Mus musculus: one gene and its partners. The protein of the gene in region 2 interacts with the protein of the main gene of each other region in a pairwise test. Links are inferred from orthologs where the notes say so. Each region holds a gene or a part of one and is shown on either strand. Other genes may lie near its edges. The genes, in order: Ssx2ip, Card9 and Ppp1r18.

Evidence for each region.
Region 1: the proteins of Card9 (region 2) and Ssx2ip interact in binary tests that used the Homo sapiens proteins (3 or more experiments, as listed by UniProt). The two-hybrid records come from large-scale screens. The link is inferred for Mus musculus from reciprocal best matches to the Homo sapiens genes CARD9 and SSX2IP.
Region 3: the proteins of Card9 (region 2) and Ppp1r18 interact in binary tests that used the Homo sapiens proteins (3 or more experiments, as listed by UniProt). The two-hybrid records come from large-scale screens. The link is inferred for Mus musculus from reciprocal best matches to the Homo sapiens genes CARD9 and PPP1R18.

Annotation. Positions count from the first base shown.
Region 1 is NC_000069.6:146,403,382-146,407,635, reverse strand, and holds the start of Ssx2ip (afadin- and alpha-actinin-binding protein), read right to left. Parts: upstream 2,995-4,254; 5' UTR 2,701-2,994; intron 1-2,700. UniProt on the Homo sapiens protein: Belongs to an adhesion system, which plays a role in the organization of homotypic, interneuronal and heterotypic cell-cell adherens junctions (AJs).
Region 2 is NC_000068.7:26,357,877-26,362,199, forward strand, and holds the start of Card9 (caspase recruitment domain-containing protein 9), read right to left. Parts: upstream 3,034-4,323; 5' UTR 2,911-3,033; intron 1,684-2,910; 5' UTR 1,672-1,683; coding exon 1,488-1,671; intron 1,076-1,487; coding exon 938-1,075; intron 208-937; exon of another isoform or gene 140-207; coding exon 1-139. UniProt on the Homo sapiens protein: Adapter protein that plays a key role in innate immune response against fungi by forming signaling complexes downstream of C-type lectin receptors.
Region 3 is NC_000083.6:35,865,245-35,869,585, forward strand, and holds the start of Ppp1r18 (phostensin), read left to right. Parts: upstream 1-1,370; 5' UTR 1,371-1,985; coding exon of another isoform or gene 1,986-1,990; coding exon 1,991-3,541; intron 3,542-4,341.

The DNA of each region.
Region 1 (4,254 bases), on a different chromosome or scaffold from region 2:
GAATCCCACACGGCTTCCGCCTGACATTTTTGGACCTCCCATCCCTCAGGGTCTGCCCCGGGCCAAGACTGGTTTTGCTGGTGACTGCATCTTCATTGCTTCTAGATCTCCAGTCCTGGCACAGAAGACAACTTAACAAAGACCCGCCTGAGACAGCCATCGCTGCATTTCCAAGGCTCCTGTCAGCTTCAATTACGTGCCTGGTGAAAAGCTTTCAGGTATTATCTAGACCATCAAGGTCCAGAGGCCATGGACTATGCAAATTATTACCTAGGCAGACATACTACATCAGAAGCAATATAATCCCCAACAAACCCTTTAGATATTCCTTATTGCCCTCTGGTCAAGGTTCACAGCGCTGTTCTTAACGCTTGTCGCTAATGCAGCTCCGGCTGCACATGGACGACACCAACCACCTGTAACCTGCACCTGCTCTGCTGTGCCCAACGCACAGTTGCTTGGCGAGCGCCTGTCAGGACACAACTGAAAGGCCTTCTTTCCTAAAGCCCGCCCACATTTGCATTTCTCCCCTTCTCCACACAAAACCTCCTAAAGTACAAAATGTTCAGAGCAACACATCTTTTTGTCCTTGGGCCTGGCAAGTAGCAGCTGAGTGTCTGACAATAAATGCTTACTGAAAGAATAGATTTATTAACAAACAACAAATCTGTTCCTACACAAAATATTGGACCAGCATCACATGGTATCAATCTAGGTTTTTCCATTACTAATAATGGATGGTGTGTTTCTCTACTGTCTCATTCTATAGGCTCATGGCTTTAAGGTAAGATGTACGCTCACAACCACCTAACCATAATTGCCCAAGACACACAACAGACTCACACAGCCTCGTTATGAACTAATGGCTAAGCCAACAAGGTGAGTCCACAGCTACTGTAAAAGATACAGGAAGCTAACACTAAAAATCACTTTTGAAACTGAGCCTAGAAACCTATAAGCCCAGCTTCTGGGAGGCTGAAGCAGGAGAACTGCAAGTTCAAGGACTGCTTGGGCAAGCTAGTAACAAGGCAGCCTTGCCTCAGAATCAAGGCGCACCGGGTTTCACTGCTCAGCAACAGAACCCTAGCCTTGCATGTGCATGGCCCGGCTTGGTCTGGTTCCCCAAGGAACGTGTGAGGTCGTTCAGAATGAAAGGTGTTTGTTTTTTATGAAGATCTGTATGTTGTTCTACTTTGTCTGGGACTCCTAAACTCACGCGTATCCCCTACCTTAGCCTCCCAGGGAGCTGGGATAAAGACAGGAGCAGTGTGTGTGTGTGGGAGGGGGGGGGGCTTACTGCTCCAATGTAAACATGATTCAAGTCCCTGTGGAAAAGTGTTTTCTAGGCGCTCTCTCCCCCCCCTCTCTCTAGCTGAATGCTAAGTGAGGGCACTTTCACAAAATCTGTATCCTAACCGGTTTGGGCCGACAAGCTGGTTTGTCCAGTTTTCCCATTTTAAGAGAGCCCAAGTACATAATTTGACTGGGCTGGGTTGGAGGCCTTCTGGGCTAACATGAACAGTTAACTTTTCCATGGTGCGTACACCTGCCTGAGCAAGCCTAGGATGCTGTGGACTTAACAAGTCTTGTCACAAGGCTCAAGTGTGTCATGGATCGAGTTTCACATTTCATCCTGGAGTGGCCCGGCCCCAGCAGTTATCTCCAAGCTGCTGTGGCCCTGTTACTTAATCCCTGGACCTATTATCTTCCCTGTACAGATGGAGAACAAGAAGGAAAGGAAGGGTGTAAAATGACAGGCTGTAGGGGCCCCAACAGTTACCAAAGAAAACGCCCCGGTTTGAATTCTATCCATTCCTAATCCTCTCAGAGAGCCACTTTGTACGAGGAACTTCTGTGCACACCGGGCAGGACAAAGTGTCGACTGGGAGCACAGCTTTTCTTGTTTAGTTTGAATGAACACTCTAAGCTTCGTGGGCCCACAGGCTCTTGGGGAGTAAGGAGATTGGATGGCTTAAGTTTTGCTAGCTGGATCGACGGTTTTGAATTTTATCCAGCCTCGTAAATGTGTCACGTCATATACAGACCTTTCCGTTCAAGATCAAATTTGGGACTAGAAAGGTTTTCCTCCGGAACCTTGCGGGCTCCATGGTAGCACTATTTTCAGCTAACTCCAGGCCTGGACTCTAAACTGAATTGAAGCAAATATCAAATCCAGAAGGCTCTCATCCTTGGGCTCCACCTTTCATCCAGCCTGGATTCTAGAAGAAACTCCCGGCTCTCACAACTGCATCGGCGTGGCTGGTTATGAATCTGACACGCAGGACTAAGGAGCCTGAACTGTGGGTATTAATGTAAAGATTCCTCTACTGGTGCTGATGGGGAATTATTGGGCAAGTTTTATTTCCTGGGCCCAGGTGACTTGCATAACCCAGCAATCTGCACCAGGAGAAATATGTGCTGACCCGGACAGAGCTCACCATTTACGCACTCTACACCACTGGAAAATCCGGGGCCAAATAATTTCTCAAACAAGCCTGCCCCTGCGATGATGTAAGTTCTTCCCCTAAACGTGGGGCTGGACCACTATGAGCCACCTACCCCTGCAGCAGCGGCAGACCTCACTCGCTAAGTCCTGCGGCAGCCTCGGAGGACTCGCCAAGCCCGCGCGGTCGGGCCAAAGGGACCCCGCGCGCGCCCGCGCCGCATCCCGAAAGGGCGCGGGGCCCCCCCAGCACCTACCTCGCACTTTCCGCTGCAGGCGGCGGGCAGCAACGCTCTCCAACCGCTGCAACGGCCGCGACGAGCCCGCCCAGAGTCGGCCCCGGTGCCTGCGTCCACGTCCAGCCCGGTGCCCTCCTCCCCGCCTGCGCGTCACAATCCCGCCGCTCACCGTCACGGCTCCGGGAGCGGCTCACGCCTCCCGCAGCCCGCGGGCCCGCACCCGCGGCGGCACGCAGCGGCTCCGCGCAGCCTCCAGCCCGCCCGGTCCGCCCGGCCCGCCTCTCGCCGCTTTCCTCGGCGGGCGCCCATCCCACCCCGCCCCGCGCTGGCGCCGCCCATTGGCTCCGCCGGTTGCCAGGCGACGAACAACCGCGGCCCGCATTGGTCCAGCGAGGACTAGCCTCCGACAACCCCCAGCAGACGCCAAGCCGCTCTCCCCCGCGCAGCTGCGGCTACCGCACCTGTTACACCCGGGGTCACCCGGCCGCTGCTCCCCGCCCCCAGCTCTCCACGGGGACAAGAGGAGGGTCCTAGCCGCTTTAGAGCCGGGCCTCTGAGGCCACCCCTGAACCCCAATGCTCTCTGGAGAACCAGGTGCGCTCCCCAGAACGGAGAGACACCGGGGCATTCCAGAATTAGGTCAGGCCCTGGAGAAGGAAGGTAGTGGCCTCTGGAATCAATGCGCCAATGCACAGAAATCCGTGTAAAACCAGGGCCAGGGTAGTGCGCGTGAAACCCCGAGTTCATTCCTCAGGACTGCACAGAACGCATGTGAGGGTCTGTGATCCGGCAGAATTGAAGTACAAGGTCATTGGCAGCTTGAGGCTAGCCTGGGCGTTATGAGAGAAGCTCAAGTAGTGAATAAAACAAACTAAGGCAAAGGAAGGGACCTAGGGAGGAGACAGCTGGAAAGGGAAACTAAGAAAAGGTACTTGTGAACTAGACCTTGATGAAAAACTCCCTAGGCCCTCTCCATGAGTGCCAAGAAAATGTAGGACAGTGGCAATTGGCCAAATCCACTTGCCTCTCCCTACTATTTTCACCTAAAGTTCCCCTGGGAAAGGAAAATGGAGAAACCTTAGTAAAGGGTAGGGTGGTGGGGTTCTAGCAAGCTGTTTACTCAAGAGGAAAAAAAAAAAGAGGTTTGGGGTTAAGTGGCTCCTGTGAGAACAAAACATCGTAAAAGGAACACAAGAAATACACCACTGCCACAGAAGAACAAGACAGAGAGGAACAAGGACTACACATGCCCACAGTGCTAGGTAGAAGATCAGAGTGCAGAAATGAACAATGGATTTGAAGGAGATTGGATGCTAAATACAGGTAGCAAGGATACATCATTACAAAGGCGCTTTGGAGCACAGTGCCAGTGAGAAATTACTGCCAATGACTGTCTTACTCTCGAAGTTAGACCATTAGTGGGGTGAGGTTGCTCCCTCTGCATCCGAGGGGGTGTTCTGAAAGTTCCCTTGTCCACTCTCCAAAACACTCCTTTTCCTCTCTCAAGAAACATCTTAACGTGGCATTTATTCTTTAAATGCTGAGTCCGGCTTGGCCGTGCAAGGGACAGCA
Region 2 (4,323 bases):
AGTAGGCTGTCCTTTACCCTCAGCTCCTTGATGAAGTCGTCCTTGGAGCTCAGAAGGGCCGTCAGGTCCTGAACCTTCTTCTGCAGCTTCATGACCTCTGTCATCAGCAGCTGCGTCAGGCCAGACTCCCCTGATGCATCTGGGGACCATGCGGTGTCAGATGGAGCCTGCGGTTGTCACCTGCAGACCCCGTGCTGGTCCTTGTCCGTAAGTGTGCATTTGAAGACTAGGGGGGACAGAGGGAGCATTCCTGGCCTCCCACAGAGAAAACTGGTAGGATGGGTCTCTCAAGACTGAGTGTGCTCAGTAGGCCCAGTTGGCCTTGCTGTCCCTCACAGGTGAACTGAGATTCTGACTCATCACCCAGGGCCACTCACATGCCCTGGGTGAAGACTCCAGTTGACCCTCTTCTCCCCCTAGCCCCTGGTTTTTGAGACAACGTCTTGCTATGTAGTCCAGTCTGGCCTCTCACTCAAGAGATCTGTTGGCCTCTGCCTCCAGACTACCAGGGCTAAAGGTGTGTGCCATCGCCCCTGCCCTGTTTATCTCACAGTGCTCTTTATGAGATGAATGAGAATTGATGGGGTTGTGGCTCTTCCATCAGGAGAGGACACCTCTGTCCCCTCTGGGAACTGTAGGATTCTGCTCTTGGCTGACAACTGGGCCCTGCAGAAATGGCACTTCAGAGGGGTCACTACTTCTCAGTGAAATTTCCAGGCTGTGAGTAGGAAAGGCAGAGAAGGGCTCCCCTTCTAGAGACCAGTAAGAGCTCAGCAATTCAGGAAGACCCTGCCCCCTAGAGCCTGTGAGTATCATCAGGGACCACTACCCTGATCTACATCGTAAGGCTTGTTATCACACTTAGTCACTCCAACGCCATCATAGAAGCCAGGACCCGAGTCCACCCACAGCAACAACCCACACCCGTGCCTCTCACCAATGATCATGGAGAAGACGCGTGCTGGCTCCTTGCCAGTGACTTTCCGGTATAACTGAGGGTAGTAGAGCTCCAGGCTCTCGAGGAAAGCCACGTAGCCCTTGTGGCCTGTCCGCTGCAGGATGTCCAGGAGCACACCTTCAGGTGGAAGACAGAGTCAAGGCCAAGGGCTGGCGGGTGGAGGCTCTTGGAGATGGGTAGGATGATTACTCTGGGTAGACATCCCAAGCTCTAGCAACCCCCTTCCTTCTGGGCCATTGAATAAGGCGCCCTGCAGGTCTCAAGTCTAGGTGGGACAGGGTGCTGCCTTCCCTCTGGTGGCTGTCTCAGGCAGGGCCTGAACAGTGGTGGGGACTCCCCTTCCTCCACTGGGCAACAGCAGGTAGACAGGACAAGAGGGGAGGAGTCTCTCACTCATATATCCTACACGGGGATGGAGCTGAGTGGGGACAAGGCCAGGGCAGTGAAGAGAGCATGGAGTGGCCTCTGGCTGGGTGTCTTATGGGGGTCATGCAGGGCTAGAGCCTGCTGGTGTGGGAGCAGTCCTCACCCACTTTCCGCTTGCGGATGACCAGGTTGGGGTCACTGAGCACCTGCTCCTCATCATCGGGGTTCAGGACTTTGCACTGGCGTAGATAGGGTGTGATCCGGGAGGGGTCAATGACAGAGATGAGCTTCACCCGGAAGCTCTCCAGGGTGCTCCAGCACTCGTCGTCATTCTCATAGTCTGACATGTCCTCTGTAGGCTGCGGTTATAATTGGGGAGAGCAGCTGAGGAAGTGCCCACCTTCTGTTCCCTGTCAGCCTAGGATAGGACCCAGGCCTGAGTGTCAGGGCAGGGCTTTGGGCAGGGTCAGAAGGGATCCGTTCTAGGGAAATTTCAGGGCTCAGCCCTATCTCCTCAGCCTCATGGACAGTTTCTGAGGGGAAGCAGAGGTCCATAGACAAGCCACCTCAGACCACCTGTCAAACTGAGCACCCCCAAGCAGCTGCCCGGCCCCTGTCATCTCAGGCTTTCTCATATGGATATGTAGGGAAGTGACCGGTTGGGGTCTAAGAGAATACTCTTTGTACAACAGCCCTGCTCTAGCTTCTGCCCCTACCCAAAAGTGCTCTGGCATGCCCTGGAGGTAGGAGCTTTTGCCTCTAGTGGCCATCCTACATAGTACCTTCTTGGGTGGCATGGACCCTTGCTGGCCAGTCTCCAGATTGGGACTAAGAGGGTCAGGTTGGCTGGAGGCTTTCTCACTGTGCAGGGGGCCAGGCCTATGTCTGACTTCCTCCTTCCCTGACAGCCCCGTGCCCTTCAGGCCTTCCGTTGTAGCCAGCTGGTGATGCAACAGCCTGTGGCACGGTGCTATTCCGGGAGGGCTGGGAGGGTTGGCCGCAGGAGCATGTCTGCCTTCCTGCTAGGCTGGAGTATACTGGAAGGGCAGGCAATGTCATCCACAGTCTACAGACATCTGCTGTGGCTTCCCTCCAGTTTGCTTTTCTGCCGCTAGATGAGCCCTGGCCTTTGGCCACATGATGGGAATCAACCAGGCCAGTTGTATGTAGGGGGTTACTCATGTGGACAAGTGTAGCCTCAGTGAATGGCTTCAATGATTTTAGGGCTGAGTTAAGGTGGCCATAGAGCGCCCCTGGCTCAGTCCCTAACCCCAGCGGAGCTGCACCTCCAGTTAGAGACACGGCCATGGCAGGCCTCTTCTTCAGAGGCATCTCTTGGCTTCCTGCTGCTTTCTGGTTGACCCAGTGGACAGACATTTCTCTAAACCTTGGGCCTATGGCCTGCCATTGCAGCCCCACAGCCACATGGTCCAGCACTGGAGGACTATGCTGCAGTGTACAAGGATTAATCAAATGAAGGCGTGAGGATGGAGGATGCCACCTGCCTGTAGGTACTTACGCGCTCCAGGATCCCCAGCAGTCACCACAGGCTTCCACCCACCTTCCTGGAAGGGTACTGAACTTACCTCAGGGTCTTGTGAGAGCTACCTGCCAGCAGATGCTGTCTGGGTTATGGACATACCAGGAGCCTGGGTCTCTGGGAGTGTGGAGGGGTTCCCTAACTGGAGAAGGGTGGAGCCATGAAGGAGGCTGTGCACTTCCTGATTGATGTGTTCTGGTTGACGCCACAAGCCAGCCAGTCCTCCCGCAGGGGACAGTCTACCTTCTGATTGGCCCATCCAGGAACAGAACAGAGGGAAGTAGAAGTACTCTGGGAGCAGAGGAGCCCTCCCTGCCTGCTCATCTGAACTGGATGGGCAGTCCAAGGTCCTCCTGGATCCAGGCTTCTGAAAGTTGCTTTTCTAACATGGCCCTGCCTCATATCCTCATCTGCCGTCTAAGGACAGTGGTGCAGGGTAGGTGCAGTGGGACAAAGCTTGGTCAAAATCTACAAGCTGTAGGCAGCTATAGTCCTCTATGGATTGCGTGCCACAGCCTCTCCTTCAGGGTGGCCCTTCAAGAGTCAGCCTGAGGTGGGCGTGGGGACCTGCTAGCCCTGCCCAGCCAGTGTAGCTGTTAGACAGGCGCTGCTGTCTAGCCTACAAGATGAGTTGAGGCAAAAGCTTCCAGTGCTGTATGGGAAGGAAGGGTGGGACACTTATGCAGAGCCCCAGCTGGCCCCTTCTGTAGCTTACTGGCCCTCTGCTTGCTCCTATGGGGACAGTGGCCTTGAAAATACTTCCAAAAGCAGCAGTCAGGAGTCCTCTTTGGCCTTGGGGGGCCACACTGCTAGGGATTGTGGCTTGCTGGGTTTCCAGGACGGCAAGGGAGTCCATCCATGGCTTTGCAGTCACTCCAGGAAGGAGGTCACAAGGCCTCCACAGTGGTGGCTTCTTAAAAGTGTTAATAACATGAAACTTTTGCTCATAAAACTGAAGTGGAAGTCAATAGCACAGATAGCTGAAGAAACCCCAAGTTCTCCAGAATGGAGAAACCCAGTGCAGAGGTTAGAAGGAGCCATGACAAACACGCGTCCCTGGATGTGTGACGGCCATCAGCTGGAGTGACAGCTGGTACAATCACTAGGACTAGGCTGGTCATACCATTTTACTATGAGCTGCAAGCTTCCCACAGAGGATGAACACATGTAAAAACTAAATCCTGGCCAGCCTGGTCTACAGAGGGAGTTCCAGGACAGCCAGGGCTACACAGAGAAACCTTGTCTCGAAAAACAAAAACAAAACAAACAAACAAAAAATAACTAAATCCTGGAGAGCCAAGGGCCCAGGATGTATAGTCTGGTGTCATGGAAATAGTGACTAAGAAAAAGGAGAGATGAACCGGCAGTTAAGAGCACTGACTGCTCTTCCAGAGGTCCTGAGTTCAATTCCCAGCAACCATCTGGAAGGGATCCGATTCCCTCTTCTGGTTTGTCTGAA
Region 3 (4,341 bases), on a different chromosome or scaffold from region 2:
TCCCCACTCCTGCCTTAGTTTCTCCTTAGGTCTTTCCCTACAGCTCTGTGTGGTCTCCTAAGGCGACGTCTCCCGATTTTAACTCGGGTTGACTCAGGGCTCCCTGCTCTCCCAAAGGATATGCGCTGCAGAAAAAATAAAATTTTATACATATGATATCCACTTGTCTGTCCATGACTCTCAAGCCGCAGAACCAATTGTGGGAAGGAAGATGAGACCTAGTTTTTGCGGTGATAGCCGAGCACTCTAAAACGATCGCAAGGCTGGGGCCACACCCCATGGACCCGCCCCATCTCTCAGTCGTCCAGTCCTGTTCCCTCCAAATATTAGTTTCTCCGCGTATAAATCAGGGAACCCACGGGAGACAGAATAACTCTCTGGGAGGAGAGCGAACTCCCAAAGCCATTTTGCCTCAGACCCCAGGGCCTGGCAGCCGCCTTCTCTGCCACGGTAACAAAGACTGGCTAGGGAAAGAAAAAGCGTGGGGAGGAGCGGCGAGAGATGGGAAGGGCGGGTCCGACTCCAAGCAGCTGCCGCTTCCTCCCCATGTCCCTCAGGGGGCCTGAGTCACGGGCCGCCGCCCCGGGTCGGCCAGCTGGAGAAGTGGGTCTGGACACCCCGCTTCTTCGGGGCTGCAAGGAAGGAAGCGGGTGAAGGTCTCTGGAGACAGACAACGGAGAGCGAGGGGATAGCCACAGCAAGAGAGAAGTCCCACCAGAGTCCACGCGGGAAGGAGGGCAGCGAAGCCCCGCCCTTCGCCGGGCTCCTCCCTGCGCCCCCTTCCCTCGCCCCATTGTCCGTAGACAAAGCGGTCGCCGCCCCCGCCTGGCCCCCAGTCTGCGTCTCCGTCCCTCCTCTTAGGCTCCCTCTTCCCTCCTCCTCTGTTTCCCTCCCTCCCTCCGGATCTCCCTTCGCCTCTCTCCTCCTCTTCCTCTCTCCCGACGCCTGACTCCACTGCACCTCCTCCTAGGGACCCCGAGGCGTGTAAGTTGACTATGTGGCTCCCACTTTAAGAGAAGTGCCTCCTGGCTCCAGATCTTCCCTGGAGTGTCTCCCCTTTTGCATAGATTGTCCCTTCAGTTCCCTCTGGTGCACAACCCTTTGGGTCAAGGTCCCCTGAGAGCCGGCTCCCTGGTTGGGGAAGACAGCAGAGGCGTGATGTGGGTCCTCGTCGCGCCCGAGTTCTGGAGCGTATCCGGTGGGGAGGCCGGCGAGATTGTAGGGACTGAACGCGGCTGGACGCCAGGGTTCTGGGAATGTACGGGGCTGCACACTTGCTCGGGTACCAAAAGTCCCCAAGGAGGGTATTTCCCCTGACCCGCCTCGGGGGCGGGAAAGACAGTGGGGTAGGGGCCGGACTGAGGGGCGGGGCCGAGCGCAGCCGGGAAGGCAGCCGGGAGCTGCGGGGGCCCCGTGCGAAGAGGCGCCGGCGCCCTTGCCTGTTTCCCGGTCTCCCCTTCTACCCTGGACCTCTGCCCTCTACATCTGTCCTCACCTCCTCACCTCCTGCCCGATCTCCTCGCCCTTCGCCGTCTGGTTCCCTGTTCTTCCCGTTTATCTCCCCCTGCGTACCGGGGGAGGCAGTCTTGACTGAATCCGCTCACTTCTCAGCCCCGGCTCCTCCGGCTCCTCTCTCTCTCCTGCTTTTCCTCTCTCCCCTTTCTTATATCTTAGGGACGGTCTGGTGCCCACAAACCCCAATCTAGCTCTGCCTCTGCCCGGAATCTCGACTCTTCCTCTCCCACTATCCCCACCCCCAACTTGGCACCCAGCTTTTCTCTTCAGTTTTTCAGTTCCTGACTCTTTTGCTGTCCTTCCTTTCACGGCCTTCCTCTATCTTCATTCTTAATTCCACTGTCCCCTCCTGCCCTTCTTCGTCCCTTCCCGCATCACTTCCTCCCCCAACCCCCATTCTCAGTCTCCGGGCTCCTCTGAAGCTTACCCTTCCTGTTCCTGTCCCCCAATACTCTCTCCTTCACTTCCAGTGACCATGACCGCTATCCCAGATTGGAAGCTACAGTTGCTAGCCCGGCGGAGGCAGGAGGAGGCAGCGGTTCGTGGCCGCGAGAAAGCAGAACGGGATCGCTTGTCCCAGATGCCAGCCTGGAAGAGGGGAATCCTGGAACGACGCAGAGCCAAGTTGGGCCTGCCTCCTGGAGAGGGGAGCCCTGTGCCTGGGAATGCTGAGGCTGGACCTCCAGACCCAGATGAATCTGCTGTCCTTTTGGAGGCTATTGGACCAGTACATCAGAATCGATTCATCCAACAGGAGCGACAGCGGCAGCAGCAACAGCAGCAGCAGCAGAGAAACGAGGTGCTTGGTGATAGGAAGGCTGGGCCTCTGGAGGTTCTAGAAAGGAGATCAAGTCCTGGTAATTTAAGAGATCAGAGTCCTAAGGGAAGAGAGTCCAGAGAAGAGAGGCTAAGTCCCCGGGAGTCCAGAGATAGGAGGCTGGTGATAGGGGGAGCCCAAGAGTCAAGTTCGAGGTCTCTTCGAGACTGGAGGCAGAGCCCAGCAGAGGCCAGAGACCTGAGTTCCAGACCAGCAGAGGCTCAGAAATGGAGGCTGAGCCCTGGAGAAACTCCAGAGGAGAGTCTGAGATTAGCGGGTTCTGGAGATGACAGTCCCAAGAGAAAGGAGGTGTTGGAAAGCATTCTGAGCCCTGGGGAGCCTGGTGACCAGAAGGCCAGCCCGACAGATGTCCATAAATGGAATCTTGACTCAAGAGAACCCCAGAAACAGAGCTTGATACAGCTGGAGGCCACAGAGTGGAGGCTGAAGTCCGGTGAAGAGAGGAAAGACTACTTGGAAGGGTGTGGGAGAGAGGAAGAGAAATTGAGTTCAGGGATTGTTCCGGTGACAAAGGAGGTTCAAGACATCACCTCGAGCGAAGTGGAGACTGCTGAGCAGAGACCCACTGAAAGCTGGAAATGGACCCTAAACTCTGGGAAGGCTCGAGAACGGACGACCTGGGACATAGATACACAAACTCAGAAGCCAGATCCTCCAGCATCTTCAGAGAAGCACCCAGGACCTTCTGGTATGGAGGCTGAAGAGGAGGCTGAGAAGGAGGAGGCGGAGGCTCAGAGCAGGCCTCTGAGAGCCCAGCAGAACCTCTGCTCTGGGCCCTCCCCCCTCCCACCAGAGCACTCTGGGACGGAAGGCTCCAGACAGCAGGAAGAGGAAGCGGCAGAACCCCGGCCCCCAACACCAGCCCCTCTGTCTCCCCCACCCTCGGCCCCAACTGCCCCCCAACCCTCTGGGGATCCCCTCATGAGCCGTCTGTTCTATGGGGTGAAACCAGGACCGGGGGTGGGGGCCCCCCGCCGCAGTGGACACACCTTCACTGTCAACCCACGGAGGTGTGCGCCCCCTGCCAGCCCAGCCCCTCCAGTCAACCCTGCTACAGCTGATGCTGCAGGGTCTGGATCTGGGAAGAAGCGGTACCCAACTGCAGAGGAGATCTTGGTGCTGGGGGGCTACCTCCGTCTCAGCCGCAGCTGCCTTGTCAAGGGGTCCCCTGAAAGACATCACAAACAGGTAAGAGAGCTACCATGCCTGACTGGGTAGAAGTCTCTTTCTAGTTCTGACTGGATGGCTTTTTTATATGTGTGTGTTCTTGTCTTCTATTCTTTTTATTCCTGCCGACTCCCTTCCTCCCCCTGCACACACCCTTCCTCTGGGTAGCCTTCCTTTGCCATTCATTTTGGAGCCCCAAGGATTCTGTTCTGCACTCAACTGCTGTGTTGGGGTGTGTCGTTTTCGGGTGTGCCCTGCCTGTTTCTTCTTTCCCCACTCTCTCGGTCCCCTCTCCTTTTCTTCCTCTGGGCTTTTGACCCAGTTAACCCTCTGGTAAGAGAGAAAAGATAACGTACCTGTGAAGGCGTGTGAAAATAACCCAGGGGGACAGAGAAGGTTGACGGAGAAGTTCAGGGAAGTTGGAATGAAGGTCTCAGCCCCAGAAGGAGGAGGGGGTCAAAGCTAATGGAGGACATTCCAGAACAGAGGTGGGGGGTGGGTTGGGGTGATGGAACAGAGCTGGCTGAAGGAAGAAGGAGTTTAGACCCCAAGTCGGCCCCCACTCCTGGCAAGAAGAGGCCATTTGAAGTGGGTGACTTCAGGGTTGCCTACCCCTCCCCCCAAACTGGGCAAATGTTAGACAGTGCTTCCTTCTCTCTAGGGACAAGAAAAGCCTTCTCTTCCAAAATATCCCAGTCCCTTCCCCCATCTTTCCTCCCTGGGCTTCCCCTCCCCCCACAGAACTGTCTCAGCCTCGGGGGTTTTTTCCCCCTCTGTTCCTGCTACCCTGGCCTCTCCCTCCCCTGGGGTAGAAACAGAGA